Linked DNA regions of Lonchura striata. The protein of the gene in region 2 interacts with the protein of the main gene of each other region in a biochemical or structural test. Links are inferred from orthologs where the notes say so. Each region holds a gene or a part of one and is shown on either strand. Other genes may lie near its edges.

Evidence for each region.
Region 1: the proteins of ENAH (region 2) and ABI1 form a complex in vitro, tested with the Homo sapiens proteins (2 studies listed by BioGRID). The link is inferred for Lonchura striata from reciprocal best matches to the Homo sapiens genes ENAH and ABI1.

Annotation. Positions count from the first base shown.
Region 1 is NC_134603.1:140,614,824-140,630,167, forward strand, and holds the start of ABI1 (abl interactor 1), read right to left. Parts: upstream 5,685-15,344; 5' UTR 5,569-5,684; coding exon 5,452-5,568; intron 1-5,451. UniProt on the Homo sapiens protein: May act in negative regulation of cell growth and transformation by interacting with nonreceptor tyrosine kinases ABL1 and/or ABL2. May play a role in regulation of EGF-induced Erk pathway activation. Involved in cytoskeletal reorganization and EGFR signaling.
Region 2 is NC_134605.1:17,389,822-17,404,509, reverse strand, and holds the start of ENAH (protein enabled homolog), read left to right. Parts: upstream 1-7,216; 5' UTR 7,217-7,381; coding exon 7,382-7,386; intron 7,387-14,688. UniProt on the Homo sapiens protein: Ena/VASP proteins are actin-associated proteins involved in a range of processes dependent on cytoskeleton remodeling and cell polarity such as axon guidance and lamellipodial and filopodial dynamics in migrating cells.

The DNA.
Region 1 (15,344 bases), on a different chromosome or scaffold from region 2:
CCTGTAAAAGCTTATCCCAATCCACTTTACTGCCCCTGATTAAGGTAGCACTTATGAAGAATGGAGCAGGAATAGGAGACAACATCTTGCTGGCTTCTTAAGGCAAATATACAAAAATTCATTGAAACATTTCAAATTTGGAAAAGCTCATCTCTTATCATCTACCCCCTCTGGACACAAATTAGACATACAACACCCTAGGTTTCATTTTCTTTAAATTCCGTGGAATCACTTGCTGATTCAGTGAAGTTGGGCTACAGTCTTATTGCTGTCTATAAGTTAAAGCTTTATTTTCCAAAACACAAAGACACTTGCATAGGCATAGAAGAACTACACAGGGCACAGAAGAGCTATAATCCTAACCCACCAGCATGGACCTATATTATTATTCTTAAAAAAACCCTCAAACCACACACAAAATAGCCAGTGCCTTTTACACTGCTGGCAAACATCTGCTTAAACAATCTTAAAAAGAACATTATTTCAAAGTATAATGCAACACCTTTTTTTAAATAATATTATTTAAACCTACAAAGCATAATAGATTACACATTTGTATTTTATCTCATTGTTCTATAATTTTGTACTATATCTGGTGTTACAGAAAGTGAACTTAATTGCTTTTTTGTTATATGTTCAAAATCTAGCAATAAAACTCGCAAAAGAAAAAAATTACTATATTTACTTTTAATACAAACTAATTAACCTAGGAACATAAAAGCATACAAGTTCTAACAGCACATAAAGGATTTGTATTAGTGACAATTTAAGAAGTTTATCCTTTTAGAGCAGCTCATTTCCTGAATTAGACATTCTGAGTGAACTTCTTTGTACTGAACTAAGTTAAGCCACTTTCCATGTGCCAGGCAATGAAATCAAGTGTCTGACCAGCTACCAATGTTTAAAGAAAATCCACAAAAAAAGGTTCATTAGTGTTGGAAATTAAATATCTACAGTAGAGAAGTGTAGAACATCCAACTTATCAAGTAAAAATAGCTCCTCTATGCATCTTGGAAGATAACACAAATATTTATGAAACTTTCTGTATGCAACACTTCTGCTTAATGCCACACATTCACTTTTCCACCAACTGGAAAGATACTTTAATTTTTTTGCAATAGCAGTTAAAACCGAAATCTGTCCGTGCTTTTGTCTGTTTTACCCAAAATAGCTTGTTTAATTCACCGTTCAGTTTCCACATACCAGTCAGAAGCTACAGAAGGAAGTAACATGACAGAAAAACACACATTTAGGCAACACAGCATTTACTTCCTTAAAAGGTCTCTCAATTTATTTTTCTAAAGCTGCTAAATCTACCCACTTGAGACTATCAAGATGAGAATTTATACAAGGAGTGCAAGCTGTTTGTTTAGAGATTCTCATAGTCATTTTAAAATTATATTTGAGCTTAAAAACAAAAATTAAAAATGGATCTTCACAAGTGGTCTAGAAGCTTGAGACTGACAAAAACTACTTATATCTGCATATGCATAAACAAGGTTATAAGGAACACTTGATTTAGACAGGAGAGTTGTAAGTAGTGTTTTGTAGCACAGAGAGGCCTCTCTGGGATACACCAGTCAACTGAAATTCTTCAAAAGGAAGTCATCAGTGCAGTAACACTGCACAAGCTGATTTCCTGTGTCATTCTAATGCTTCACAAGCTAGTTACTGTAAATAAGTTCCTTAAAACATCAAAATAACTCAATACAGCTAGAAAAATGACTAGTGGCTCTCTATGGAAGTTCATATTTTTCAGCTGAAGAATCATAACTAGAACTGCAAATGCTTCAACTCCTAGTTATTTCTGTATTAAGTAGTACTGATCAAGTTAATACTGTCTAGGACACTGATGAAACTCCTCACTAGCATCATCAGCTGTGTACTACAGGTTTTCAGATAGCCTTTTGGTTACAAGCACACCAAAAGAGCTAGTCCAGAACATACCTGAAGGCAAAAGGATTTGGGGAAGACACCAGCTATGAAAACTTCTATTTTGAAAATAGTTTTCTAAATTAATAGATCTATATATATATAAAAATATTCCAGAAGGCAAAAATATGCCTTAAAAATTTAAGGTTCAAAACCTGCTCTTAAAACTCTTTGGAGTTTAAGCCTCCGACCTAAAACAGGAATTTCAATTTCTACCTGCTTGTTATTGAAGCTTCCAGCCAGAAATATCACAAATTTTAAATACTGTCAGAGATTAAACACACTAACGTACTTATAATGCCCTTTTCCTTCTATTCAAAGCCAAAACCACCACCAAAACATCACAATGTTCATCAGTTACTATTTCTATATTTGGTTTTATTTTTTCTGTCTCCCTTTTTCTCCCATCCCCCTTAAGACTGCCACTATACTGTATTTTCTTTTTAGCACTGCAGGTCTTCCTTAGAAGCTTATTTGCTCTGCTTCTCCTGAATTCTTTCCTCTTTCTAACAAATAAACTTCCTAGATAACTAGAATACACATGATCTGGAGGGCAAACTGCTTTACCAGACAGCATTCTGATATAGTCACAGTGTGCCTCAGCAAGAAACTGCTTCCTGCTTTTCTGAGCACAGCAATTTTCAACTTGAGATTCCCAAATGCTGTCATCTTTCCTAAATGCTCCAGTAAAAGGATACTTGCTCTCCACACAGCTACATTCACCATCAGGGAGGTAAGTTCCAGACAGGTGAGTGTTTCCCCCATTTGTCGCTCTTTTTTTTTTTTTTTTTTCCACCCTAAGGAATCTCAAGAGACATTGAATACAAGTTTTCCTTAAGAAATCAGCACGGCTGAAATTTTACCAGAATTATTCTCAGCTTAAGAAAGACAAAACAAAATTTCTGTATTTTCAAATAAATACATATATATAGCTTGAATATAGCAATATCAGTGGCAAGAAATTACTTTCCTGCTTAAGTCAGCAAAGAATATAAACCATAACACAGAGAACATAATTCATTGTCCTATTTCAATCACAATAAATTGTTAGTGCCAGCACTCAGAACAGTCTGACAAACCTGTTTCACCTCAGTGGCACAACTCAGAGTGGGTAACAGCACACAGTAATGTTTACCACTATGAAGCACTTCACTTTTTCCACAGAAAAAAATAAACCACTCCAAATTCAAAGTGGCTGAACTGAACCAGCTACATACAACCAGATAAGAAATGGAGCTACTAGTGAAGTATTTCAACATTCACTTCATGGCCAGGTTCTTTATTCTGGTCTGTCTTTTTTATAAAATGCTCAATCACATTAAACAAACACATAGATTTTGTATTATATGTTTGTTAAGCCTCTTCCTTTCCTTTTCTCCCTTCCCATCCCACCATACTCCTACACCCAAATCTCATAACCCAGTGCCCTGTGTCATACTGCCTAATCCAGCAGTATCCACCACATGCACTGGCAGTATAATCTGTTCAGTAGTCCAACTGGACAGCAGATGGTTTTGCAGCAAGTGCTGATTAAAAAACCCACCTCCATCAAACACAAAAAAATACATAATTTTATCAATACATTTTTACTAAGCAAATGTACAATACATGTAAAATACAAGTGGGGTATATACATTTTCCAAAGCTACTGTACAAGACTGCGTTAGACTTTTAGAATTCCGGCTTCCTTCCTTCTTTTATCTTTGTACACAGCTGTACAAAGATAAAAGAGACCCCATCAATCCCACATCTAGCTGACCTTGATACCTGAGGTGAAAATGAGCTACCAAATTAAAAAAAAAAAAATTAAAAAAAGAAAAAAAGAGGAAAAGGAAAAGCCACCCCAAATGACTGGATGGGAATTTGCTCAAGTGTTGTGTTTATTTGGTTTGCTTGATGAAAGTAAGAAAAGACAAATTTTATGACTGTGAAGAAAACGATGTAGCTGAAGATTCTCTGCACCTTTCTGACATAGGGAAAAGTCAGGAGCAAGAGACACGTCAAAACTTGTGCTGCAATTACCATACTCATGTATTTGTCATATTTCCCATGAGTAAAACCAAATGAACCTCGCCTCTTAGAAGCATTTATATCAGCAGCTTTCTCTGGGTGGAGCAAACAACTCGGAAGCATAAATAGACATTAACTCATACTACCTCATATACCAAAAAAAAAAAAAAACCAAAAAACACAAACCCAAACAAAAAAAAAAAAAACTTGAAAATATGGCTTGTTAGAGCAGTTTTAATTAAAAGATCTCATTAAAAAATCACTTTGTATTATTAAAGATGTGCTTCCATATTTGCTGCTCCGTAACTAAAAACAGTAAGACAGCTTACCAGCAATAATGGATACCAAAGATGTTGGTAACCTATATTAAATACTTATCACAGGTAATCTAGTATTACATTCAACAAGTTCACTCTACAAGCTGTCTAGTTAATAAAGTTTATTTGCCTTTCCCCTTCAAATTTTTTACAGAAAAAAAAAGCTGAGTTTCAGCATCTCTGGATGGTTCTGCATCCAGATCAGTATGACTAAAGACTGAGACTTAGAGTCACGTGATGTAAATCCTGAAAAAAATAATAATAGGAAATTGTGCTTAAAGTAGCTTCAGAAAAATCAGACTTAAAAGAAGTCCAAGAAGCATTGGCAATCTATGGGATGGAAAAAAAAAACCCACCGCCGGTGGAGAAACGCTGGAACCAAAGGAGCCTCTTCCCGCACGAGAGACTCGGTCTGCAATCCCTGTTGTAGGTGCTAGAGCCGGGCGGGCTGCGAGAGGCACAGATTGCCATTTTGAAACACCGCCTCACGCCCGCACGGCGCTGCCAGCCCACGGGCAGCCGCCTGCCCCCGCACGCCGCTCACGGCAGCGCTGCGGCCCCGCAGCACCGCGCCCGCCTCGGCCCCGCCGGGACCCGCACGCCCAGGAGGAGCCGGCGCGGACCCCCGAGCCCGTGATGTCACCCGCGCGGGGCCCTCCGCTCCCCGCGGAGCGCGGCGCGGGGCCGCCCGGCACCCGCGCCCCACGTGCGGCGCACCCGCCCCGGCCACCGCCGCCGCCCCGAGGCCCGTCCGCGGGCCCCGCAGGGAGCCCCGCCGCCGGGAAGCCGGGGGGAAACCCGGGATACCGGGTCGGAGCCGGCCGCACGGAAGGGCTCGGGGGCCCTCGCGCCTCGGTCACCCCCACCCCTGGGAGGTCTCCGGGATGTGACTCATGATAAATAAATACAGGGGGGGAAGGAAAAAAAAAGGAAAAAAAAAAAAAAAGACACACCCTCGGAGCCGGACTGACATAATAACCCCCTCCCTTCCCCTCTGGAGCGGGGGAAGGGAAGCCTGGCCGTTCAGCTGGGAAAGTTGAAAGAAAAGGCAAAGCCGAGGGACCGGCCGCGGGGCGGGAGCCGCGGCGAGGGCAGCCAGGCGCCGCTGCCCCTCGGGCGGCTCCGGCCCCGCCGCCGCACGGAGAGCCGAGCCCCGCCGCCGGCCCCCGGTGCGCTGCCCCGCCGCCCTTACCTGGATGTAGTTGTTTTCGCAGTAGTCGGCGACTCGAGTGAGGTTCTGGTAGCTCTCGAGCAGAGCCCGCTTGCCAGAAGGGATTTCCTCCTCTAGCAACATCTGCAACTCTGCCATTTTCCACCCCTCCGCATCGCTTCCTCTTGCATTAAAGAGACAGCGACAGCGCCGGGCTCGCAACCCGCCTGGTATTGTGGGATTCCTCCTCGCCTCGCTTTCGTGAACGCTCGCTTTCCCCACCCATCCTTCCCCCTCCGAGGGGAGGGGAAAAAAAAAGAAAAAAAAAAAAAAAAACCAAACCAAGAAAAAAGAGGAAAAGCCCGCCCTCGCTGTGCGAAGGCAGCCGGGAGTTGTAGGCAGGGCCGGTCGCATGCGCGGGGCGGCCGCCGCTCGTGGGCACCGCCCGCGGGCCGGAGGGACATGGTGGGGCCCGGAGTGCTCCGGCCTGGCTGGCTGCTGGGCTGGCCTGCTCCCCCGGCTGCTGGGCTGCCCTGCTCCCCCGGCTCCTGTCCTGTCTCCCCCAGAGACGAGGGGAGACAGTGATGTACATCCCCCGCCTCGCTCAGAAAAGCCCCAGCCCCACAGTGCTGCCCAGAGGCAGCGGTTCTGCAGGAGAGGCTGAAAGGGTCTGGGAGGGAAGCACTGCTCTGGTTATCTGGCCATCTGGCAGGCTAAAAATATGGAAGATCGCAGAATCAATTAGGTTGGAAAAGGTCTCTGAGTTCATCGAGTCCAACCCATGACTGAGCACCACCATGTCAACTAGACCACAGCCCGAAATGTAATGTCCAGGGTTTCCTTAAATACCTCCAGGGACAGTGACTCCACTACCTCCCTGGACAGGCCATTCCAAAGATAACAGAAGACTGGTAAGATGTTAGAATGATCATGGTTTGGGGCAACTAGTCCTTTCAAGGGAGTTACCCCCTGAGGGGGAGGGAGAAATACTGAATCCAAGTTACGCAGATTTTAGTCAGGGCCTGCCCAGTATAACTACTAACAGTGATTTCCTGAATTTAGGTTCTTAAGAAGAGCTTAAATATTTGGCTGAGATAAATACAGTATTCCTGCCACTCATTTACCTCAGTTGTTAATCATTGTTCAAGGCCTCATCTGGCTGTCAGCAAAAGTATGGAAGACAAAAGTCCAGTGATAACTTAGTACAATCTTTTTTGCATGTCTTTTTTGTAAGCCAAATCCTGATTCTGCAATCGTGCCAGGAGAGAAGCCAGTAGCAGCAGGTGACTGCTCTGCTGAGATGTCCATGCCTGCTCTTGCAATGAGTAACAGGCCCAGAAAAAGCCATTTCCAAGGTTCCACTGTTCTTGCCATGTGTTGTGTGTCCGCAGTCACAAACACAAACACAGTTAGTCCTTGTGTTTTTTAATGGTTGTCCTAGAGAAATGCACACAGTGGTAAAAAGTCAGCATGTTTCAGAAAAATGCAGTCTCAAGCTCACATTATAGTAAGAGGAGACTGCCTCATTTCTGCAAAATCATGTGACATTCTACATGTTCTCTGTAGTCTGTCTCCTGTGTGAATCACTGTTCTGGTCAGGATACTTTGGTGTATTTATTGCTCTCTCTAAATCAAGGGTAAAAAATAGCTCTCCCTTCACCTCTGTGGTCAGCAAAGTCCAGTATCTCAGCCCAGAACTGTAGAAGCAAGGATGAAAGGTAAGGACCCTGGAAAGGACCATCAGGACTGGGAAACTCTTTGCAACTGGAGTTACAAAATACACTCCTGTCTGGGAACAGACAGGCAGGTACCAAGAAAAGTATTTGAGAGCTCTTTGAGGAGCAGAAGGAGCTGGTACACTTGCAGCACTTGCTGTGGGATAGAAATGCATCTACATTGCTCTCTTCTGATGGTTAATTTACTTGGCAGCTTAGCAAAATTGTTTCCAAAGGGGTTTTAATAGCTCTCTTTTGGGCAGCATGTATGTCCAATAAAACACTTTATTTTGGATTCCTTTTAATGTAAGCTAATTCAGTTTGTTTGTATTGAGATATTGGCAAGCTTTAAATGTGTCCTGGGGCAAGTGTGACCAGAACCCCTGATGCCTCAGGTTTTAGCTTTTATATTTTTCAGATTATGTGCTGCTTTAGTGTGCATTTCTGAGCTTCATATTAGGGGATAGTAAGCTCTCTTCACAGTGTAGGTTGACAAAACAATTTCTTCTCTAGCTGGGGACCAAGGACAAATGATCCAAACTTCAGGCCCAAGAGCATAAATAATGTGGACTGAAGAGAGAAAAACAAGAAGGATGGGACTTCATAAGCTAAAGCTGTAACTGGACAATTAACTTCAATATGCTAATGGACCAGAACTTAAAAAAGTTTGAGACCCTGTGACCTGTCATTTTGTGACCATTTTGGGTTCACCTTGGGTGTAGCTGTTGCTGGGCTCTTGTACTGCCCTAGATGTATCCATTGAGGTCTTCTAATAAATACCTACTTTATTCTTTAACTCCATCTAGTTAGTCTCTGTTCTAGGTGAACCTTCACAAGGCATCACTACTCTTGGGCACTGGCTTCTCCTTGTTTCCAGTATTGACTTATTGTATATATTAATAAAGACTAATTCAATTTCTCTATTCACTTTAGCTGCAAATTGCTTAACACCCATTGGCTTGAATGAATCTTTAATTGCCTACAGATCACAGACTGACTTCATGGAAGCTGTTAACATCCTCAAATGTAGCACAATTGTTGTTGGCTCTTCATAAAATGTTACAGCTGCCCCTCTAAAAGAAATGACAGATGTGTGGGGCCTTGCCCATCAACTTTTTTCAGTATGAGCAAAATGAGTGGCACGTGTTTTGCTAAATGTATTGTGCTTCACTCCCGTGAGCAAGCTTGTCCTGGCAGGACAGGCACTGAGCAGGCACTGCGGGCTCTCCGGGGATGCATCCACCTGGCACAGCAGAGCAGCGGCTCCAGCAGAGCAAAAATGCAAAATGTTCTCACAACTCAAGAAGACCTCGGAGGAGCACATCGAATGTTGCCACCTTGTGACAGCTATGAGGCTCTTCTGCAGCTGCCATGGCGCGGCCAGGCATTGTCCCCATGCCTGCGGGTTAGACTTTGGGTAGATAAACAACCAAACCAGGTCCACTCCTGCAGGACCTGTCATCTGGGTGCCATACAAGCATGGCAGTGCTGCTGTGAGGGCCACACTGTGTAAGATGCACTGGGAATTTTGGTGTGGATATGCCCAACTGATAAGATCAGCAGGCCTTATTAGCTTTTGTCCCATGCTAGTCCTCCTTCTTTCTAAATAACTCTCTGCAGGATCCCTTGAGTGTCTTTGCAGGGTGTTCCTCATGTCTGAGGCTCTTGGTTGGTGCATTGACTCAGGTGCAGTAGATTGAAGCTGGTTCCATGAGTCTGCATGGTGTGCACCAAGTGATTCTAAAGCACCTAAAAGAGTGCAAATCTAGCAGAACCAGTGCTGAGCCACAATCAATAAAGTTTGGGCTTGAGCTGACATTTGCTGAAGATAGTAATGTGCATCTAAACTGCATTCACTGGGGTTTCTTTTCAGAAAATATTTTATTTTGTTGTTCTTTTCATTTTGGTTTATTTTGTTGAGTTTGGGCTTTTTTACTCTGTGACATTTTCTCATTGCACCAGGTATAAACTGCTGATAAGAAAAATAAATTACCTAACTTACAAGATACTTCAAGTGTACAAAAGAGCTGGGAATTAAAATTTTCCTGGCTTGGGCTGCTGGACTGGCAGAGGAAAACATGTAATTATGTCCATCAATCTCCACCTAAACAATCACCCAAATGAGATCCTATCTAGAGTAAAATGTGCTTATATATCTCTCAATGTCTCAACTTTACGTTGAGATTTTCTCCTCCTCAGTGGGGCATGAGATCTCCAGGGGCAATCCTATCTTTCTGGGACAATAGGCCATTTTTGGCTTGGAAAGAAAAATGTGACTATATTCTAAGTGCTGTTTAGAACAGCAGCAAAGTAGCAGTATCACAGCAACTTCTCCTGCACTGTAATTTGTGTAGCTCTGTAACTGTCTGTTCCCTTTCCTTGGCCATAGATTGGCATGTGTCTTTGTTTTTCCCTTGGGAACGAACAGTACTTGCTTCAGTAGTGTTGATTGGAAAATAACCCTTTATTTTTTGTTGGACCATTTCTCTGCTGGATTAATTCCTGATTCGGTGGTTTAGCTGCACAAGCACTTCTGACAGTGCAATGGAAAGGGAGATGAGGGATCTGAGAGGGCAGCTGGAGGCACAGAAGACACAGGGCTGTTCAGATCAGCCACATCAGCTCTGCTGCCAAATGCCAAGTCTCATTTTCTTGTAATAAAATTTTTGTTGATTGCAATGATAGTTACACAAGTATGGCTGTACTAGGACAAGCTTTTATGAATACTTAATATTCTTCAATGTTTTCTTTTCTTGGTACCAAAATTTGCTGTTTTGATATTTCCTTCGCCTGTTTAATAACTGCCCAAGAAGGTGCTTAGCTGCATTGGGTTGTTTTCCTTTGCTTTAGCACAGAGCCTTATTTAAGAACCAGAATAATTACCCATATTGATATTTCAGTTATCATCACAGGTTGTCTGAGTATTGCAGAGATGAATGGGGTTGTTTCTGCATTTTGGAGACAATTTGTCATGCACTCTGCGCTTTTGTGGTCACCTCCGTGTGCCCTTTTTCCCAATTAATATTTTTAAGGTTTTCATCACAGCTGTTAACAGCTGCAGATGCTGCTTCCTGGCTTGCCAGGGAAGCAGGGGTGTTTGGGGCAGGACTGCATCCCTGAGCTGGTCAGAGACCCCAACACAGACCCCTGGCAGTTGCTAGGCAGCCACGAGCTCTGTGCAGCACAGCCAGCACAGCCAGGCATTGCTAGGCAGCCTGAGCTGCTGGGGAGCACAGAAGTAATAAGACTGAAAATTGCAGCTTCAAGAATGCACAAGATAAGAGTGGCAAAAAATAAATAGTTTCACTGTATTTTGACATGACCTTTCTCCTCTAATATATTTTCACTTGCAGGATTTGCCTTCTGTCTCAACCTCATTTTTCATAAAACTCTCTCCTCTTCATCCCTCCTGCATGCTTATCTTCATTCCTCAGCAGTACTCTGGTGTCAGCAATCTTCCTTTTCCGTCACCTCCACTACTCTTTTCTCCATCTGTCCTCTCAGTTGTTCTCCTCCTGTGTTCCACTGGATCCCTTGTTCTTTTGGCCTCTTTAATTTTGCTTTTCATTCTTGCATATTTCTCAGCTCAGCCTTTGGCCATCCGGTTGTCTCCTGATGTTTCCTTTCCACTTTTACTGAATCAAGGAATTCCTCTCCCATTTTCCATTCCCAGCTCCCAATCTAGGTCCCTTCTGCTGCTGTCACTTCCAACTGCCCATCACAAGGTAGGCTTATCTTCTTAACACCTCAAAATACTGTCAAGGCATCCACTGCCCTAAAAACATAGGAAAAATGGGGGATCTAGACCCTGGTGGTGCAGCCACCTCAGAGAGCCCATTTCCTTTTCCTAGACCTACCTGAGAAGATGGCTGTTGTGTGACAAATGCTAAGATGACTTGCTTCTTACACCACTAACAAATGGAGCTAAACTGTTTTGTTGTAAGAACATTTTGAGGAAGGGCTGACTTTAGAGCAGCCACTTAAAGCAGGAGGTGGGCTTCTGGCAGTAATCCTTTTTATTAGCATTTTTTTTCATTCTTTTATTTTATGGCTTTGGAAAGGTAATTTAAATATGAAAAGAGCCATCTTATTGCAAGGGGTAGGCATGGAGTGAAAGTCAGCTTTTTGAATAGACCCATGCAATTTTGGCATACTCATTAGAGGGTAGGTTGGGATTTCCTGAGTTAATAGCTGTTTGCTGGAGGATTGCAAGCCTTCAAAATGGAAGAATTTCTTTGATATGTATATACAAAATAAAAATTTTCCTGGAAAAGGTTTTTCACCCTACGTGGAGTTTCTGGTCAAAAGCAAATAGACACCTTGTCCAGGAAAAAGTAATATTTGCATAATTAGCAGTGAAAGGGAATATCACAGACCCAAAGACAAATCTCCTGTGACGCTAAATTGAAAGCAGGCACTAAAAGGGTAGATGGCCCATATCAGCATTGTCATGCTTGCTCAGCTCTTTGGAGTGAGCATCCCTAACAGGAAGAAAAACATTGCTTAAGGTCTTGGAAAATGTTTTGAAGTCTGAAAACACCCTTAGCACCATTTCTGTTCTGTTTTGCACTGTTTGATAAAGGCAATGAGAATAGCACAACCAAGAATGTTCCTGGGAAACTCAGTGGCTCAGACATGGTTTGTAGAACTGTAACTGCTTCCTTGAGAAGCAGAGCCTAAGATGGCTTTGCAAATTCATGCAACACTACCAAACAATGCCTTGAGAGCACTGCCTAGTGCTGAACACAGAGTTAATAAGCTCTTTTGGACTACATTTCCTGCTGAAGTACATTTTCACTGAAGTGCCTCTGGTGGTCCTTGGAGCAGCTCCACTACCTGTGTTTTTCTCTTCTCCATCAGTTCCCAGTCTCCTATGATCCCAGATAATTGAACTGATTGTACTATGCTGTAGCCTAGTCTAATCCACATCTCAGAATCGATTGCTTCACACTCATGGCTATACCTAACCTACCCTATATATACCCAGACTAATTTATTTCTTATCCTCAGTACATAGTTTCTGTGTTTGGTACAGTGGATGAACAAAAACCAGATAACAGTAAACATCTGTGTTTCAGAGCCAACATTTGAGCTATCTCTGTGGATTTTTTCTTAACAATTAAAATTATTTAAGTCCATTTTTATTCTTAAAAAAAAAAGAAATTAAAGGCTTATCAAGATGTGCTTAGCATAATGCAAAGCTTTAAAAGAATATATTATTGTGAAGATAATCTAATTGCACAATTGCAATTTTTCATTACATTTGAGGAAATCTGAGCATGGATAGGAATTACTTTTATATTCTTTCTATTTAAAAGATTGGTGTTTTTCTAAGCACCACTGTTTTTTTGATGCAGATTAAAAGCATTCGTATTCTGTACTGATTAATTGGTGTGCCTCTTTTGCATTTAAATATATACTTCATTGAATTGCAGTTTTCCATCACAAAGCAGAAAAGAAAAAATAATTAAATGATAACATCATGCTACTGCAGAAGGAGCACTATTTCCCCAATAAAAATAAATATTTGACAGCAATTTTGCAGTGATAGTATTACCAAGCACAGTATTTGGATGGCAAAATAAGGGACAACATAATAGGTTTTTTTCAGCAAGTGAAAACACATTACGGTTCTTGGGTCTGTTCCAGCTCCCAGTGAAACAGTAAAGCTTCAGCTGAAAGCAATGCTGAGTCTGTAGGGTTGAGCAGTGTTTGAAAAGGACCATCTTCAATAGCACTGAAGGCAAAAGGGATTTCACTGGATGCACAGCAACCTGCAGATGTGGTTGTATACTAGAAAATCACTTCCACGCTAAGATAACATTGACATCTTCCTTGGCATTGTCCCAGTCAGAGCTCAAACATGGACTGTGCAGAAATGAGGGTAAAAAGTCATTACACATAGACTGAAGCTATTCTGTGTTGGGAACATTTAAAAATAAATCAGGCCACCTAGTGCATTCCAACAGAATTTAAAGGGTAAGCTTTGGATGTTCAAAACAAAAGGGGGGTTCCTGTTACTTTTCATTACATAACAGGAATAAGCTCTTGTGCCTCTGAGACTGATTACATCTCAAACTTAGTTTAGATATTAATCAATCTCAGCAACCACTTCTTGTTTCCTGTAGCATAATGCGGTAAAAATTGTCCTTTAATTACCAGTAATGAAAGTTACCTGCAGTGAAAGTGAATATATGCCACTGGAAAATGACTTGGTTCAGAGGACACTGAATGCAAATACGAACAAACTTAATGATGCATAGGCACAATTAGAAGTGAATATATAAAATACTGATGACAGCTTCCTGCTGTGCTCAACTATTTGCTGTCACCATTAGCTATGAATGTTTTAATTTATTTGGTCATAACCATAATAATTCCATAGTATCTTTCTGGCCGGTGTGTTTCCTAAAGGGTTGGGGACTTTTTAAACAGTGTCATTTAATAAATACATACTTAGTATTAAAAATATTTCTAACATTCTTTAAAATAATTCTGAATGTGAGATGGATAATTATGTGTGCCATCACTTCCCTTTAAATTTCTGACTCTTCATTCTGTATTTTGACATGTTTGTACTTCTCAAAATTTCTTCAATATGTAAGGTAGAGCCTATCTAGGTTTTTACATCAATTGAAAGATGTCTCACAACTAGATATCTTTTCTTATATGCTAAGAAAAAAAACTTCATGCTGTTCTCACTGAAAAAGGGATCAAGATGTTGTTTTACATAGAAGATGTATTATAGAGCCCTCACTATACTGTGTGTGAAATTTGCAGTTGTTTCTCCTTGTAATGCTTTTCTTTTACTTACTTGCACATTTCTCAGTCTTAAATTAGCCCAGGTAGCACATATTTATATTTGAGAATATATTTTTCCCCACCAAGCAATGTGTGAGACAGGAAAAAGAAGAAATGCTTTCTGTAGCATCATTACAAGTATTTCAGCCAAGAGGTTGCACCCCCAGGAGCTCTCTGTTTTGAATGAGGAAGGTAGTTAGCAGAAGGTAGTTTCAGGGCCCTACCTCCTGCTCTTCCTGAAAAAACAGACAACATTTGGTGAATCCCTAAATTTTAGAACTAATATATTTGCATACTTTCAATAGAATTTGTAAGAGTTAGGATTTATCCACTAAGGAACTGGGCTGTGCTGATAGTGTTCCACTGTGCACTGCAAGGGCCAAGGGATTTTCTCTGCACTTTTTTTTGTTTTTCATACAGTATCACTGTGATGGATAATGGCATAGAGGGATTGTATTCCCTGGCATCTGGAATGTAACAGTATGATGAATTCTGGGAGAAGAAATAGTGGAGGTACTTGCAAGGGCCAGATAGAAGGGGCATGTATAGGTGTGGAAGGGGAGAAGAGGAAGAAAGGGTAAAGAAGAACTATGATGAGATTGAAGATTGTTTAGATATGTGGTGTCTGAGCATAGCAGAGAGCAGGTGGGCTGAGGAAAGCACTAAAAAACTACAAACACTTCCCACATGGGATATAGACTTGGACTCAGGACTTTTTCTATTTTCTCTTGTTTTCTCACAATAGCCAAAAAATTCACAGGGATCTATGGGCTACAGTCTACAATCATTGCCAATTACTCCTTTCATTTGCTGTAGATCTGAAAAATCAAATCTTGATGTCGGTACTTATGTTGGCCACACACCAAACTGTTAACAAGTTTAAACAACGTATCAGCCAGTTAATCACCTAAGGAGTGCCATCATCTCTTAGGATCTTATGGATGTCATACTTGGCTGGGTATTATCATATAAGCTAATAAAGGGGGAGGGTCCTTTTTATCCTAAAAAACCTGTTGAAACAGGTTCTCTTTTGAAAATTCCTTTGGTTTCCAGTGAAAGAAAAAAAATGTTTCATAAAAAATAGTTGGGCTGAATATCTTTTCTCAAATGGCTAATACATCTAATTTTAAATTATTTTTATTGTGTGGCCTAAAGGTTCCTTATCTCATTCCAAGGAAGAGAATTCAGTATTCAAATACTTTCTTGTTCTGCTTTAGGAAAAGAGCAGCAAATCTGACATACAGTGCCTCATTCATAGATATTGTGTCTTCATAACTGAAAAAGCCTCATTTCAGTTACCTCTTTAAGTATTATTTACAATAGCCTCCTGCTATAATAGTCTATTAGAACAATAAAATTGCTCTAAAGTGATTTCCCATTACAGTTCTGTGGTGGATATGAACTTCATGAACCTGTAAC
Region 2 (14,688 bases):
CCCTTCATCCACTGGTGTAGTCACAGCAGAATGAATGGATCATTGTTAGAAGAGTCATTTCCCTGCACAAAGCAACCTCTATTCACAATTGTAAGGTTAGAAATGTTCAACCAGTCATGACATTTAAATAAAATGATTGTCTGAGCATCTCTTGGGGTTACAAATCATTCTCTCTCTAGCTGGTGCTACCTGTCCTTTATTATAAATCCACAGAATCTTTAAGACGGACAACAACTCTAATGGAAACAGTCTCTTGAAATATGATTTCTCTTCCCATGTTCAGAAGCAAAGAGCAGTTGTTTGTACCTTGAATAAAGATATTAGCTTTGTTTCCAGGACTAGAGACATGGGAGGAAGCTTAGAACAAAACCACAAAAATGTAAGTGGAAGCTTTTGAGAAACTGAGCTATGGGAACAATGAAAATTTTTGGTTAGTATCAGAGAGCAGTTGATATTTTTGGGATAGTTGATGTCTGAAGAAGTCTATGATAAAATTTACAGCTATTTAGAAGAGGAAAAAACCCAGGAAAGATAGAATTTATCCAGACACAGTAAGCCTAAGAGAAACAAGGCAAGTTTTACAAAGAAGATCTGACAGTAAAATGTATTCCAGATAGTAGAAGGTTGTTTTTTGAAAACTCTGAAAAAAGCCTGGTGGGGAATTTTTATTGGTCTTTTCCTACGTCTACTTATTTACACGCCCCAGAAAATGAATCCTTTCTTATTAACCAGTAAGAAAGCCCAGCATTCAGCAAGGATTTGAAAGTAGAGTCTCCGGCAGTACATTTTAATGAGTGGTATTCTTGGAAAGCAGTCAGTTGACCATAGTAGCTGAATCCCTGACTGCAGCACACCAGTCAGTGTCAAACACTCGGGATAAGTTGTTTAGAAATAAACCTGTGACACAGGAAATAGGGTACGAGGTGGTTCTGTGCTGTCTGAGGGTGGAAGGAGCTGGAGAAAATCCATCACTGTTTATGTGGTTGTATTTGTGACACATGGGAGCTGAACTAACAGAGGAAGTGGAGAATAAATAAATACTCAGCGGAGAGAGTGATTATGGTTAAAATGCAGATCCCTAGTCCTGGAAGCGTGACTTAGGGCCAGTTGCAAGGAATTCCTTCTCATTGATTATTTTATAGAGTATATCTACATTCTGAAATAATTTCTAGCTAGTTATAGTAATAATAATGGCATGTGTTAGCATTGTAATCTCTTAAGAGCTCATATGTCTTTTTATAGAAACATTAATTCTTTTGGCAAAAAAATTTTGTGATGTTCTTTCTAAAATACTGAGGAAGAATATTTTTGCAACTGCTGCTTTGTATATTTTGGGTCTCATGCATGATTTATCACTTACTAAATTTGAAATCCAAATTATGGAACTGGCTATAGCTATTGCCAGAAAGCAGAATCTGCAGTGCTGGAAAAGGACTAAAAAGGTTATCATCTGACTAAGCTGCAACCTTTCTTGGAACAATATTTGTATTGTAGGTTACTAACCGCTTTGCAATCCACAGGTGCTCACTCACAATAGCAAAAGTGTTGTAATTCATCTATAATCAGGACATTATTTTTACTGCAAGTTATTCTGACTTTGCAGTCAATGGAAACTAACCAGCTATAGTAAAAGTGTTGTCATTCATCTATAACTGGGACAGTATTTCCATTGTAAGTTATTCCAACTTTGTAGTGAATGAAAACTTACCAGCAATAGTAAGTGTGTTGTCATTCAACTAAAATAGAAGGGAGGAGAAAGGAGAAAGATGGACAAAATGCAGAATGTATCTGCAATGGAGTATGAGTAAAATAACCCCACGGTAGTGCAAAGTAATGCTAAGTTGGTGAAATTCAGTGCAGGCTTCCAACTGAAAGGCTACACCATTTCCTTTGGCATCTGCCTGCCTAATCTCACACAGGATAAAGGGGTACAGTGCAGTAAATGTGCTCTGGTGAATTCAAACCTCAGCTGGGGTTGTAGAAGCTGCTTGCAGAGCTCAGTGCACTTTAAGGTAGAGTAAGTAAGATAAGTAATACCTGAGTATTTAAAGCTACCATAGACATGGGGGACTGCAGTGTAGACATCCCATACATAGCTCTTCTGGGCAAGAAGCCTGCCCTTTTTTATGCTACAAGAGCACTGTAAGTACCTAACAATTATTAATAATAACTTATTAATAACACTCCGAATCTTTGGCTGTGATCGAGTACCTCAGAGAATAACTCATCTAGAGTTGTAAGAAAAGATAGCTCAAAACAATCTTAACTAAATCCTGGGCCAGCTTTGTGCCTTGACTTTGCTCCAGCAAAAGATAAAGCAGCAGAGTACAATTTGTTCTAAGACATTAGCAAGAGAGAGAGAAGGACATAATGAATACATTTGATTGGTAATGCATAAGAAGTGGTGGCAAACAAGACTATTAGGGGATAAGAGTATAAAATTAGATGGAAAGGAAGAGATGAGATTGGTCAATTCCACTAGTCCTAAATCAACATTTCATCTCAGAAACCACAAAAGTCAGCAGCTGAGTGGAGGCAAATGAAAGACTAGGGTCAAAACAACAATCATAATTTATCTTAGTGTCAGAAAAGCATTTTTACACTAAGTACACAACACATCGATTTACACTTGATAGACAGTACTTACACAAAAAGAGACTTCAACCCTCACTGAATAGCCTGCAGCACAATACAAATTCTTTTCATGGTAAACCTAGGGGGGGAAAAACAATCCCTTTTTATACAAGGAATTTTCACTTAAGTATTTGAGTCTACTAGGAACAGCCTGAAAGACACATACCACTCACATCTACACAGGCTTGTGGTTCGATGTGCTGATGCTGTTTGACAGTGTGGGGGGCACTTTTAGGAACCTTGGGGGAAAGAAGCATGGCAGAAAGCTACAGCTGCTGTTTTCATTCCTCTTTGGAGGTGCCTGATGGAAGATCTAGGAGTTGTTTACTTGTACAACGAGGAGCGGAGTATGCTGGTAGGAAGACCAAGTTTCACCTTTGGGAGTCAAAGGACTGTGTTTGATAGCAAAATATTTGCTTCCTTTGCTGGTGATGTTGTTTTGCCTTTTTTACAACAAAATAAAAATATTATTCCTTTAAGAAAAGACCTTCTTGGCTATTGTTGTTGTTATCTGCTGAGTCATGCCAATATTTGTTTATTTTAGCATTCCTAGAGAATTTTAGAGATAGTTTACTCCCCCTTCCCCAGAAGGCAGTTAGGAAAAACTGTGTAATTTCATAAATAAAATAAAACTAAGGAGTTTTTAGTTGAAAGCATTTCCTTTCATGGTCTGCTATGCAACAGTTCAGCAGTTGGCTGACTCATGGTAACCTGAAATTGAAAATGACTTGGGGTTGAGGGAAAGCAAGAAGAGGACAGGAAGAGTTATGCTAGCTAGTATACTTTAACTATCTATATAATAGCTGGATCTTCATTTTGTTCAACTAACCATGACCTCAGAGAATTGGTTCAGGCATCAGCTCTGTGATCCAAAGCAAAAGATATATTTATAAATTAGATTAACATAATCACTGATGAGAATAATATGTTCAATTACTTAATTCACTTCTGTTTTGATAAACTTCAATGCTACCAGAAGCACACTGTCAGAGCTATTTTCTTTTAGTCCACCATTTTTGGAAAGCCCTTCACTATCTCTGGAGAGAAAGCTCATGCTTTGTTGTTGCAACTCTCTCACTTCTATTATATAACAAATTGTGTTTTCTTTCTATACTAGTTCTATAGAAAATAATCCAAACAAGTGAAATAAAGTATCTCTTCTTATGTATTCAAAAACCAAACTTTGGATGTATTAAGTGAAAAGAACAATAACCCTCAAAAAGCCAAAACCACCAGAAAAAACAATACTTTCCCCTGTTCCAGAAACTTCTTTGACTATATCCTGCATTATGTTATTTACAGTCATTGAAGAAGGCCAAAGTAATCTTGCATATGAGCTGCTGTCCTAGGACACTGACCTTTGTAAGACATATGAAGATCTCAGCTACTTTTTGCTTTCTAAAGAAACAAAGACTGGAAAGTGGGAGATTGTTTCAGAGAAGACAGGGGAAATCACACTGTGAGAGAAATAATTACTCTGCTTTTTGAAGCTTTTGGATTCCCTGAATGTCTCCAGAACATTAGAACATCATGCATCTTCCTCATGACCCTGTATTAAGGGTTATCCAGACTGGTGAGATGCGATGGGATCTGCTGGGTTTGCTTGGGAGTAGCCTACCAAGCTGTCCCCACTCTTGCATTTGGGTGATATGAAACAGGAACACATCCTCTTCTGGTTTATGCATGGGTGAGCCATTTCTGTAGCATTCAGAAAGCCTTCACTACTCAGGTTGTTGGGAGAGCAAGCACACCGTACTGCTCAGCCAGAGCTGGCTTAGCTTTTGGAAGCACCTGAATTCCAGTCCCCACTTGCAGCTGAGCAGCAGAAAATGCAGGAGGGAAGAATGCAAAGTGGTTTTGGGGTATTCTGAGCTGTTTGGATCCAGAGGAAGAAGGGCATGAACACAATCCTTGGACACTGATTAGAAGAACCATTATGTGGCTCTGCCTTGTAGGTTGTCACGGGCCTCAGGTTATTAGTGTGACACCACCAGCTAAGAAGGCTTTCTGCCACTTTGGTTTTGTCATTGCCAGAAGAAGGGAGAGCAGTGGGAGAGGATGCAGAGGGCATTGACACCCGTGCTGTGCTGCTGGAGGATCCTGTCAGTGAGAAAGGTGACAGCAGAGTCATGCCAAGTGACTTGGACACAGGACACACTGAGCTATTACGGCTTGGGAGCATGTGGTCTGCTACGAGAGCAGGCAGATTTCTCAAAGCATAATTCAGTACCATAAACAGGTACACGACACTAACTCCTTCTTCTGCTAGACTACTTTAATTTCTCAACAATAACCTCACTAAATTGACCTGGAAAGAAAGAGGCATTCAACGTTTATAATTTGATTTCTGCCCTATATAATTTTGGCTCCTCTCCTTCTCATGTAGCTGCTAATATGAGTTACTGCAGATTTAGTATTTTGTTACAGATTAATTCAATGGGATTTTTGACTAAGCTAGCATCCAAAATGACTTTGCACTTGGTGACATCTGCGATGCCAGCATGCAAAATGATTCTTCTGGCATTTTTACAAATTCTATTGTACCACTGAGTAGGTCTTGAGAAATCCAGCTATGACCATATCTGATTTGGCTAAGAACACCTTGTAATATAACACAAATAGCGATAATAGTTATTTTGCAGGAGTAAAAGCTTCTGGCTATTTTCATTCCCTCTCAGGCAGACCTGGAGCCCAGGCATACTTTTAGTGGTTTTTATATACCTGTCACAGTCAAAATTCTTTTAGGTTTGACTAATAAGACCAGACAGTTGCATCAGGACAGTCACATTATGATTCTGATTTTTTCTGTTATAGAATAACTGGTATCTTTGAACAAAATCCTTCTTCTCCTGTCTCTGCCATTCCTTCTACTGATATACCTGCTGAAGCCCATTAGACATACATCTTAGATGCATCTATATAGATACAGACTTTAACAGTTCTGCTTGGCTGCCTTCAAGAGCTTTTTCACTGCCAGAATGGCTTTCTTTCCAAACCTTTTATTTGGAGGATGTTCTGGTAATAGGAAGCCCAGATCTTAGAAAATTCATTATGCCTTAAGAACTGAGGTCCACTGCCAGTCACTAGAGTCCTCAGCATTTGCTGAAAGCAATTACGGTAATTTTATTTACCAGATCCAATTGTGTCCCTTTTTCAGACTGTCTTTACATTGTTCACAAAGGTACACACTTTTTAAGATCACGATGTCGCTTGTCTTCTGATTACTCATCTGCATTTTGTGATTCACCTTTACTGCAACATTTTCATTGACATCATCCCTATGCCAGTAAAAACATGTTTTCTTACCAAACTATTCTTCATTAGCTTCAGTTTCAGAGCCTGTCCTTGTTCCCAAGTTAGTGTTTTCTACTAACAACTGGCCATTTTTTTTCATTGATTAGTTCATCTCTTACTGTGCTACTGACACCATTAATTGACAGAGTGTCTCACTGATCAAGGAAGAGGTGGTGTCAAATAGCTGAGATTCATGGTAATATCCCCTTACATGTGTGGAACCTACATCAGAAATACATATATATTTTTAATTTTTTTTAAATATATCTAGAAGTCTAGACACTTATAAAGAAGATGTTTACACCTTTGTTTCTCCTGTATATTTTTACTACTAGACCCTAGAAACCATTGGTATTCATTAGGGAGAAATGAAATTGGAGGTGCAAAAGCACCAAGATGGCTTAACAACATTGGGAATTGCAAAGACATTTGCTCATCGCGTCTTTTAACTAAGACGGGAGAGAACGAGTATTCACTCGCTAGCTGACAGAAAAGAGCCGAACACGAGCTGGGTTAAAGAAACTTGTACAGTCCGCTGCGGGCACCGAAAGCGGAACGCAAATCTGCATTTAGGACAGGCGCGGGGCTACCGAAAGATGCAGAAATAACATTCCTGTATTCCTGAAAAAGGCTCAGGCCACTGGCTCCCCGGGACACCGAGGGGCCGCCGCCCGCGGCGCTGTCGCCGGCCGGTACCTGCGGAACTCGGGCAGGGCGGCTCGGGGCTCCGTGTCCCGGGCACCGGGCCAGGGCTCCCGGCCGGACAGAGCCCGGTGCGGGCAGCGTGGGGCAGGGTCAGCGGCCGGGGGGAGGCGTTCACACGCCGGGCTCCGCCGGCCGGGACGCGGCTCTCCGGGAGCCCATCCCGCCCCTCCGCCCCGGGGCGACTCCCGAGGCCGCCGGGGAGGACCGTGCCTCGGGCGGGGGCTCTCCCGAGGAGCCGCCACCACACCTGCGGCCGCCCCGTCCCTCCACCCCCGCCACCCCGCGCCGGGGCCGCCGAGCCCCAGCGAGCCGCCCGGGCACGGCGCGGCGGTGGGCGCGGCCTCCTCCTCCGCCGCCCGCCCCTTCCTCCCTCCCTCTTCCCCCCCGCCCGCCGCTCCCACAGCCTGGCCGCCGCCGCTCCCGCGGCCCCGCCGGTGTCTCCGGTCGCCCCCGTCCGCCCGTTCTCCTCCTTCTCCGTTCCCCCCGCCCTCCCGCGCGGTGGTTCGCTCCTCCCCGCCCCTTTCCCCCACCTCTCTCGTCCCCTCCCACCCCCGGCTCCCCGCGGTGGTCTGGCCCGGCCCGGCGGCGGAGGGAGCGGCGGAGCGGGCGGGCGGGCGGCGCTGCCGGGCGGGGGTCTCGCTCTCCGGGGGTCTCGCTCTGCGCGGACGCGGCGAGCAGCGGAGCGGGGCGGGGGAGACAGCGCAGCGAGCGAGGCAGCGGGAGCGGCTCCCCGACCGCGGGCAGCACCATGAGGTGAGCGGCCGGCTCCGGAGCGGGCGGCGGGCGCGGGTTGGGGGGCGATGCTCCGCGCCCCCCGGCTCGGCCGGCGCACGGCCGGGAACGGGAACGGGCATGGGGGCCGGGGGGATCGGCCGGCGACGGGGGAGGGGGCCGGGCCGAGGGGAGCCCCGCGGTGGGGGAAGGGCCCATTGTTAGTGGCGGCGGGGGAAGGGCGGCCCGCCGTCCCCGTCCCCCCGCGGCGGCGGCGAAGTTGCGGTCGGGGGGCGGCGGCGGGGCCCGAGTCCGGGGCGGGGGGCGGCTCCGCTCCGGCGCCTCCCCCGGGCCGGGCACGGCGTGAGCCCCAGGCGCCCGTCTCCTTTCTTTCTCTGCCGGTGGTGATTTTTTTCCCCCCTTTTCCTCCGCCTTACCCGGCGCGTGTTGCATTGCAGCAGCAGCTGGGCTTTTCCCTCGGTAATCAATAAAGAGGCGCCGGGGGGAAGGAGGGAGGGGGGATCCCCCTCTCGGCAGCCGGGGAAGTGCCGCGTTCGGAGGTTTGGGATGTAAACACAGAGGTGGCCGCGGCTGGGGGCGGCAGGGAGGGAGGTGGGTGCCCGCCGCCTTCCCGCCGGGAACTCCCGCTCCCCGCCGGCTCATTCATTTGAAGGCGATTTTCTGCCTCCCCGGCCCGTCCCCCCTTCCCCCCGCCATCCTCCCCCCGGCTCTCCTTTAGCGCCTGTTCTGTTTCCATAATCTCCTTTCTGGATTGGTGCAGGACCCGGTGAGAAATGCGGCTTGGTGGCCGAGCGCTGGTCTGGCTGCCCGGGGACGCCGTGCTCCCTGCAGGCCTGCCCCTCGCTCAGACAGCTGGGGAAACGAGTTACTCATGCCTTCCTTTTTTTTTTTTTTTTTTTTCTTTTTTTTTTTCTTTTTTTTTTTTTCTTTTCGCCTGGAAGTTATTGTCTGCCTTGCAGTTGGATATGAACCTTCTTTGTCTTAAAGACACGACTGTAAGTCGTGAGGTCCTTTGGTGTAGAGATCCGGCAAGATCTGCGTGAGCAAAGTCGGCAAATTCCTCTGCTGCATAAAACTGATGAGCCATTAGATTTCCTTGTCAATTGCAGGAAAATCCCAATAAATTTTTTTGTACTGTGAGGATTCCCTCTTTCAGTGCACCTTCAATAGCGTTGCAGCGGGAAGCATGGGAACAATCTCCCTGTTGTTTTGTTTAGAATTGTGTTCTTGTATTTCCCTCTGGTTTTCTTTGTTAACTGTAGGTATTTATGTCTTACGTTATTTTAAGCTTTGTTTTGTCTTGTGATAATTTATTTTCAGTTATTCATGTTGCTCATGTAGAAGTCAGATACCCTGCAAGTGAAAAGTTACAGCTTGGAAAACCTATACCTAAGCAGAGGTGTTCTTTTTAATTATCTTGACACAGCCTTTAGCACAATGAATGCTGCTAATCGAGCAAGTCTTGGCATAAATAACCTTGGGAAGCCCCATGTAAGTTTGGGTTTCGTGCTGGCAAAAAGTGCTTGAATTGTGGGGGTGATGCTGAGTGAAGTGAGCTATAGCAGCAAGACTGCTCACTGTTCTCTGGTGTAACTGTATGTGTGCTAGGACCAGTGCCAGCTTGGAGGGAGCACAAGTATTTCTCTTAACCAGCACAACAGGAAAGTGTCTAGGTTGAACCTACCCTTAGGTTGCTTATTTAGGTGTTTGAATAGTTGACTTGCAGCAGTGAGTAAATGTAGGTAAATGAATATTTTACTGGCCTTGAAGCTTTCTACCCACTCGTGCCTATAGAACATCAAGCTGGCAAGGGGGAGAGGCAGTTGTGATTTGGAGGGTTGCTCTGGTGAGTGGTCATGGGGTGTTTCAAAGGAAGCTGACTTCCAGAACCCTTGGTTCCAACCCTCTGGAAAAAAAGAAACAAGCTGTACCAATTAAACTACACAGGCTAAAAAAATGATGTGCTTAAAGAAGTATTTTCTCTCTATAGAGGCACTATTACATTCACTCAGTTTTGTTTAATTGGTCCGACTCCAATACAATGGCAAGCTTTCACTGCATACTCTCTCGTTGGACTTGTTTAGACTATGGTTGATGGTATATTTCTGAAACATGTTTAAACAATATCTTCATGCTGTATTTTGTTCAGGTAATGACTTTTAATGCGCATTTGCTGGTCAAGGTGAGGTCTGATGGGTGAGGAGTGACAAGCAACCAGTATTTCATATACAGCTCCAATGTTTGCACGCACTGTTAAATCTTAGCAGTTCATACTAAAAATATACTTTTGGCACAATATTGATGGTCTTGTGGAATGAGTAAACTGCATTCTGTCATTGCTGTTGGGCAGGTAAGTATGCAGTTGTTGCTCCAAAGAATAAAAAAAAATACATAGATGAACTGGGGCAGGGTTGGGGGGGGGGAGAAGCACTCTCACTTTCTCCCCTGTGGTTTGGCTGTTCTTCGGCCATCATGAGCCTGAACTAATTCTGATGATTTTGTGTTAAGATCTTGTGTCTTGTCTGGGTGATTAGCTGGTCAGTTACCCAAGAGCAAACTGGTTTTCCTTCTGTCAGATAATACTAAACATCCTTGTGAGAGCATCTTTGAATGTTAAAACAATCAGCAGTTCTGTAAGACACAAACACTGACACTACACAGGAATTAATTCTTGCAGAAGTCTGCTTTGTATTCAAATTGAAATGATATGCTATTTGAATAACATCTGTTAGGGGTTTTAGGTTGCAGAGAAACTCTGAATATTAAATATCCCAGTTAAATGGTCTAGCCTAAGTATGAAGTTACTTGGTTCAGGAGCTAGCTTGAATAGGGCTGTATCTGTGTCTCCTGCCCTAGGTAAACAGCTGATTCCCATGAACACCTGTTGCTCTCTTTGTACTCAGGGGCAGCACTTTTGTCAGCTAACCAAATCCTGTTTCCTGAAAGCACTTATAATACAATAGGTATCCAGGAATGGGCATCTTCAGTGAAGCTTCCATTTACCAGCTGACTGGAAGGTGGTGGGGGGAAGATTCAGGTAACAGCAAAGTTTGGTGCCCCCGTTCTAGTAACAGCATGACTTCCCATCGTATTTGTACAAGAAGTGCGTGTGTGAACAGACTTTTATTGTAGCATATGTTGAAGTCTGTATTACAGAAGCTGGTAAACACAACTCTGCTGCTAGAGCTGGGGTTTTACAGTGAAGATTAACGGAATTACCTTCATTTTTTTTTCCTATATCAGGCTCATTTTGAGTCTTAACTCCAATAAAAATAAATGAGCTTTACAAGATACCGACTTTTTAAAAATCAAACTGTACAGCCTTCTCTTGGGATTACTACATTCATTTCTTTGTGTGGGAAAGAATTGTTTTTCATTAGTGTGCTGGTCAGAAAGCAGACTGCTTAGTCGGGTTGCATTACCCAAGTTCCCAAGAACTGGGAAAGAAGCAGTATTTTTAAGAAATTTTCAATTCAAATGTTTCCAGAGCCCAGTATAATAAATTGTGTTTATGATGGGCTACTATGGATATCGTATATAGGTGAATTTCATTCCATGCTTAGATAGGGCAAACAGCTAAATTACTATAAATTTTGCCTTTTCTGAAAAGTCATGTTGTATTCTTGCTTGTGTTTTCAAGCTAAAAAGGTAGCTAAATTTGTGGTCTCTAAACCACACTGAAATTTCTGTTTACTTACAATCAGCAGCTTTTCTGCTCAAATATGTTGCTACAGAATGCACTTCACGTTATTATTTAAAAGTCAGCATATTTTATGCCTGGGCTGGTAAGCCTTCATTATATTTTAAGTGTTGTGCTAAGAAAATGAATACAATACTCACTGTTTACTGAGTGAAAGCCCACTGCACAAGTAACAAAACATGTACCTTCATTAGGACTAGGAATGCTTGAAGGAACCCACACGCATTTCCTGGGGTTTCCACCAAAGTGGGTATACAAGAGCATTATTAGTGACAATACTACAGTTCAGTCTGCTGCAATAACTGCAGTTATTTAAGGTAGTGAAATAGCACAGCAGCAAGACCATCAATTTGATGGTGACATTAAGTTATTCTTGGATACGTAAGGTAACTCTTCGGAATTGTGGCTTTAGTTTTAATACTTGCCCGAATGGTGTATTTGAAATAGGAAGCTTAATTTAGTTAAGAAATATTTGACAAAATGTTGGAAGTGCAAGCAGGCAGTTAAATTAGACTGGATATGCATAACTGCAAGCAGTACAGTTCCTAAAATTGCTTGTATCTCAAGAGAAAAATTGGAGTTGTGGGCAGGGTTTTTTTTTCAGGTGGATACAAGAATTCAGGTTACTTTCCTTGTTCTTAAGTACACTAACAGATGGACTGAGTCATCTGTCTGATAGAAGTGTGGTCTTTAGCTTGCACTTTATTTGTGACAGTTGCAAGTAATTTTTGGACAGGCTGTTTCTGCCCACCTGATACGGCATCTGACAGCTGTTTTGCCCACAAGGCCTCTGGATAGTTTAGTGAATTATTTTGATAGTAAAACGATAAATCTTTAAAAATCTGCCCCATGAATGGAGAGTGCAGGAATGAGAATCCGTTTTTTTTTAGACAAAGCTATTTATGACCATCTTGGCAATTATGTTGTCAGCCTCTAAAAATTAGAAACAGTCTGGGAGTGTGTATAATTCAGGAATGCTCTCTGGAAGGGCATGTACAAGTTTTTTCTTGACTCTGGTTCAGGGTTTCATGTTTGCTGTTGGAGGTCAGAAAACAAGAGCGAGTTAGTTGGCATCCTGCTTCGGGCCACTCTAGCCTAAAAGCCTTTTTTCTCCACTTCCATAAAAAGCAGAAACATTTTTCTCCCAGCACCTGTTTCAGTGGATGCTTTGCCCTAAGTGACGTCTCTGGTGCTGCCTTAGGCATGTGATTGGAAATACTTTGTAATGAGGGCTGCCTCTTGCCATGCCAGGGCAGCTCATGTGGAACTATTATAGAAGTAGGTTATTGAACCACTGGATAGAGTCATTTGCTTTCATTACTAGAGAGAGCAAATGTATTTTGTGAAACAGATATTATTCCCTTCTTTGCTTTGACCTTTCATCTAGAATTGCTTTTGACAGTTCATGCCTGCTTCCACTCAGCAGTGGAGAAATCCACGTGCCAGCTCTTTAAACATCCAGGCATGTTTAGGTTTGGAGAGTGCTGTAGTGGTGAGAGAGAGCAAAAGATAAGTGCTTTTTGTGTTAGATTAAAAAAAACCTTACTTCTAGTTGTAGCTCAAATTAAATATAGCAAAGACTGAAGTCACATCAGCCTTACTGAACTGTCAGCTGTGATGTTGGTTGGTGCCTACTTTGCTTCCCCACCCTACCTTGCCGTCCCTGGGAATTCAATACAACTATTTTGTGTTCTTGGGCTGTTAGAATCTCCCTTGGGATTAGTGTAGGAGTGAAGCTGCTTTTTACCTGCCTGTATTTAAACCTGCCAGGTGAGGAGCCACTGTTGTGTCTCTGCTGTGCTCTCCTCCCTTAACTTGCTATGGGTTCTCGCAAACCTGGAGAAGAACATAGTTTGTATGGAGCTTTTTTTGGTTGAATAACATACAGGAACTTTTTCCCATTTTAGAAACAGCTGCACCACCTTATTTTGCTTTTCAAATTTTCCAGCATGAGATACAAAAACGTGTATCTAAGTAATTGAGTCTGATTAGAAAATGCTTTGTAGCAATACTGGTTAGAGAGGAAAATGTTGAATTTTACTTCAATTACTCCTAATAAATTATTCTCCTAATTGCCAAACCTCTCCCCTGCTATCATGTATGACAAGTCTCCTTCACTGTAGCTGTTCTATGACTAATGTTAGAAGTGTTCCAGAAGAGAATGTGAATGTTGTGCTTACCAGCCTCTGGTGGTGTTATGTGGTGGTGTGTGCTGCTCCTAATGTTATGGCTCTGTAGGCACTTATGGGAGGCTTATGCTGCTGGGGAGGTGATGTGACATCTTTCTGGGTCTCCTGCCCAAATGCTGGTGACAGCCTGCTGGAGAAAACAGGACTGTTCAGTGGGATGTGAAATGATGTGTCAATCCACTTCGGATTAGTCTTTCCAGCTGAACTGCTTGTAACAAGCACATGTTTTGGGAATCAATGCACAAGTTAATATGAGGAATTGAAGTACGACTCTCTTGTCTCTGTGAGTAATCTTTAGACAAGGCTCATTAAAAGAAAACACAATGCTCAGGCAAAAAAAAAAAATCTGCTCTTAGTTTCACATATTGAAAATACTCCAGGCAAAGCTGTTTTATGTAAAAGAAAAATAGTAAAAACAATTTCAGTTTAGTCCAAAACTGGTCTGCTTCTTTGCGAAGTGTGTGAGTTGGTGTTGTGTGTTTTTTCTTTTTTGTTTTTTTTTTTTAATTATGGTAAAGAAAGGTGCTGACACCAGGTGAAGTGTGGGAGAATGAAGTGGAAACTGATTGCTTTCCAGAGGGTGATATAAAAATGCTACTTTGCTGGACTGGTGTGCTGCCAGAAATAACTTAAACTTTTGGTTTGCATCACAAACACAGTTGGAAGGTGTTTGTTTGAAATTGTTCTTTCATTGTCTTTTCTTCACAAATTTGAAATTTCTGTTTCCTGAACTGGATTACAAAGCAGTCTATACTTACTGCAAATTCCATACAGAAGGCTAGGCAAGGTTGTTGTTCATTGTAGTATACTTATCACCTAGTTCAAAACAGGTGAACTTTTACAACTTGGGATTAAGCAGAATGGTAAAAGAGCAAGAATAATCATTGGTATAGCTAAGACCTATATTATGCATTAGTTGCAGTTTTATAGCAAGTAAAGAAATATTTAAGTTTTCTTTTTAGAGGAAATAAGTTTCTATGTATGTCCTTAAAGGAATTTCCTAAAATGTAGTTTAACTGACTGCTGTCAGTTTATTCCTGGTTACCATATAGTGAAAGCAGCTTTTAAACTGAAATACTTTGAAGGCCATATAGTTAAGGCAGAGTTTTATTGTGGTCCCATCTGGCTAGTGGTGAACACTTTCTTATTCCAGTACATCCAGTATATACTGGATATACCTGGATATATCTATTATATATCCAGTATATATAATAGATATATTATATACTGGATATATCTATTATGTACTGTATATATATATATGTATACATAGTATATCTATTCCAGTATATTCCTGTATAGACCAGTATGTCTTCATAAGTGGTCATGTCTGCTAGAAGTTTATATTTTGTGGAGATTTCCATTAAGTTGCAATTTTTTCCTATCATATGGGATTGAAAATGGAAGTAGTAAATGGAAAGATGATTTAAGACT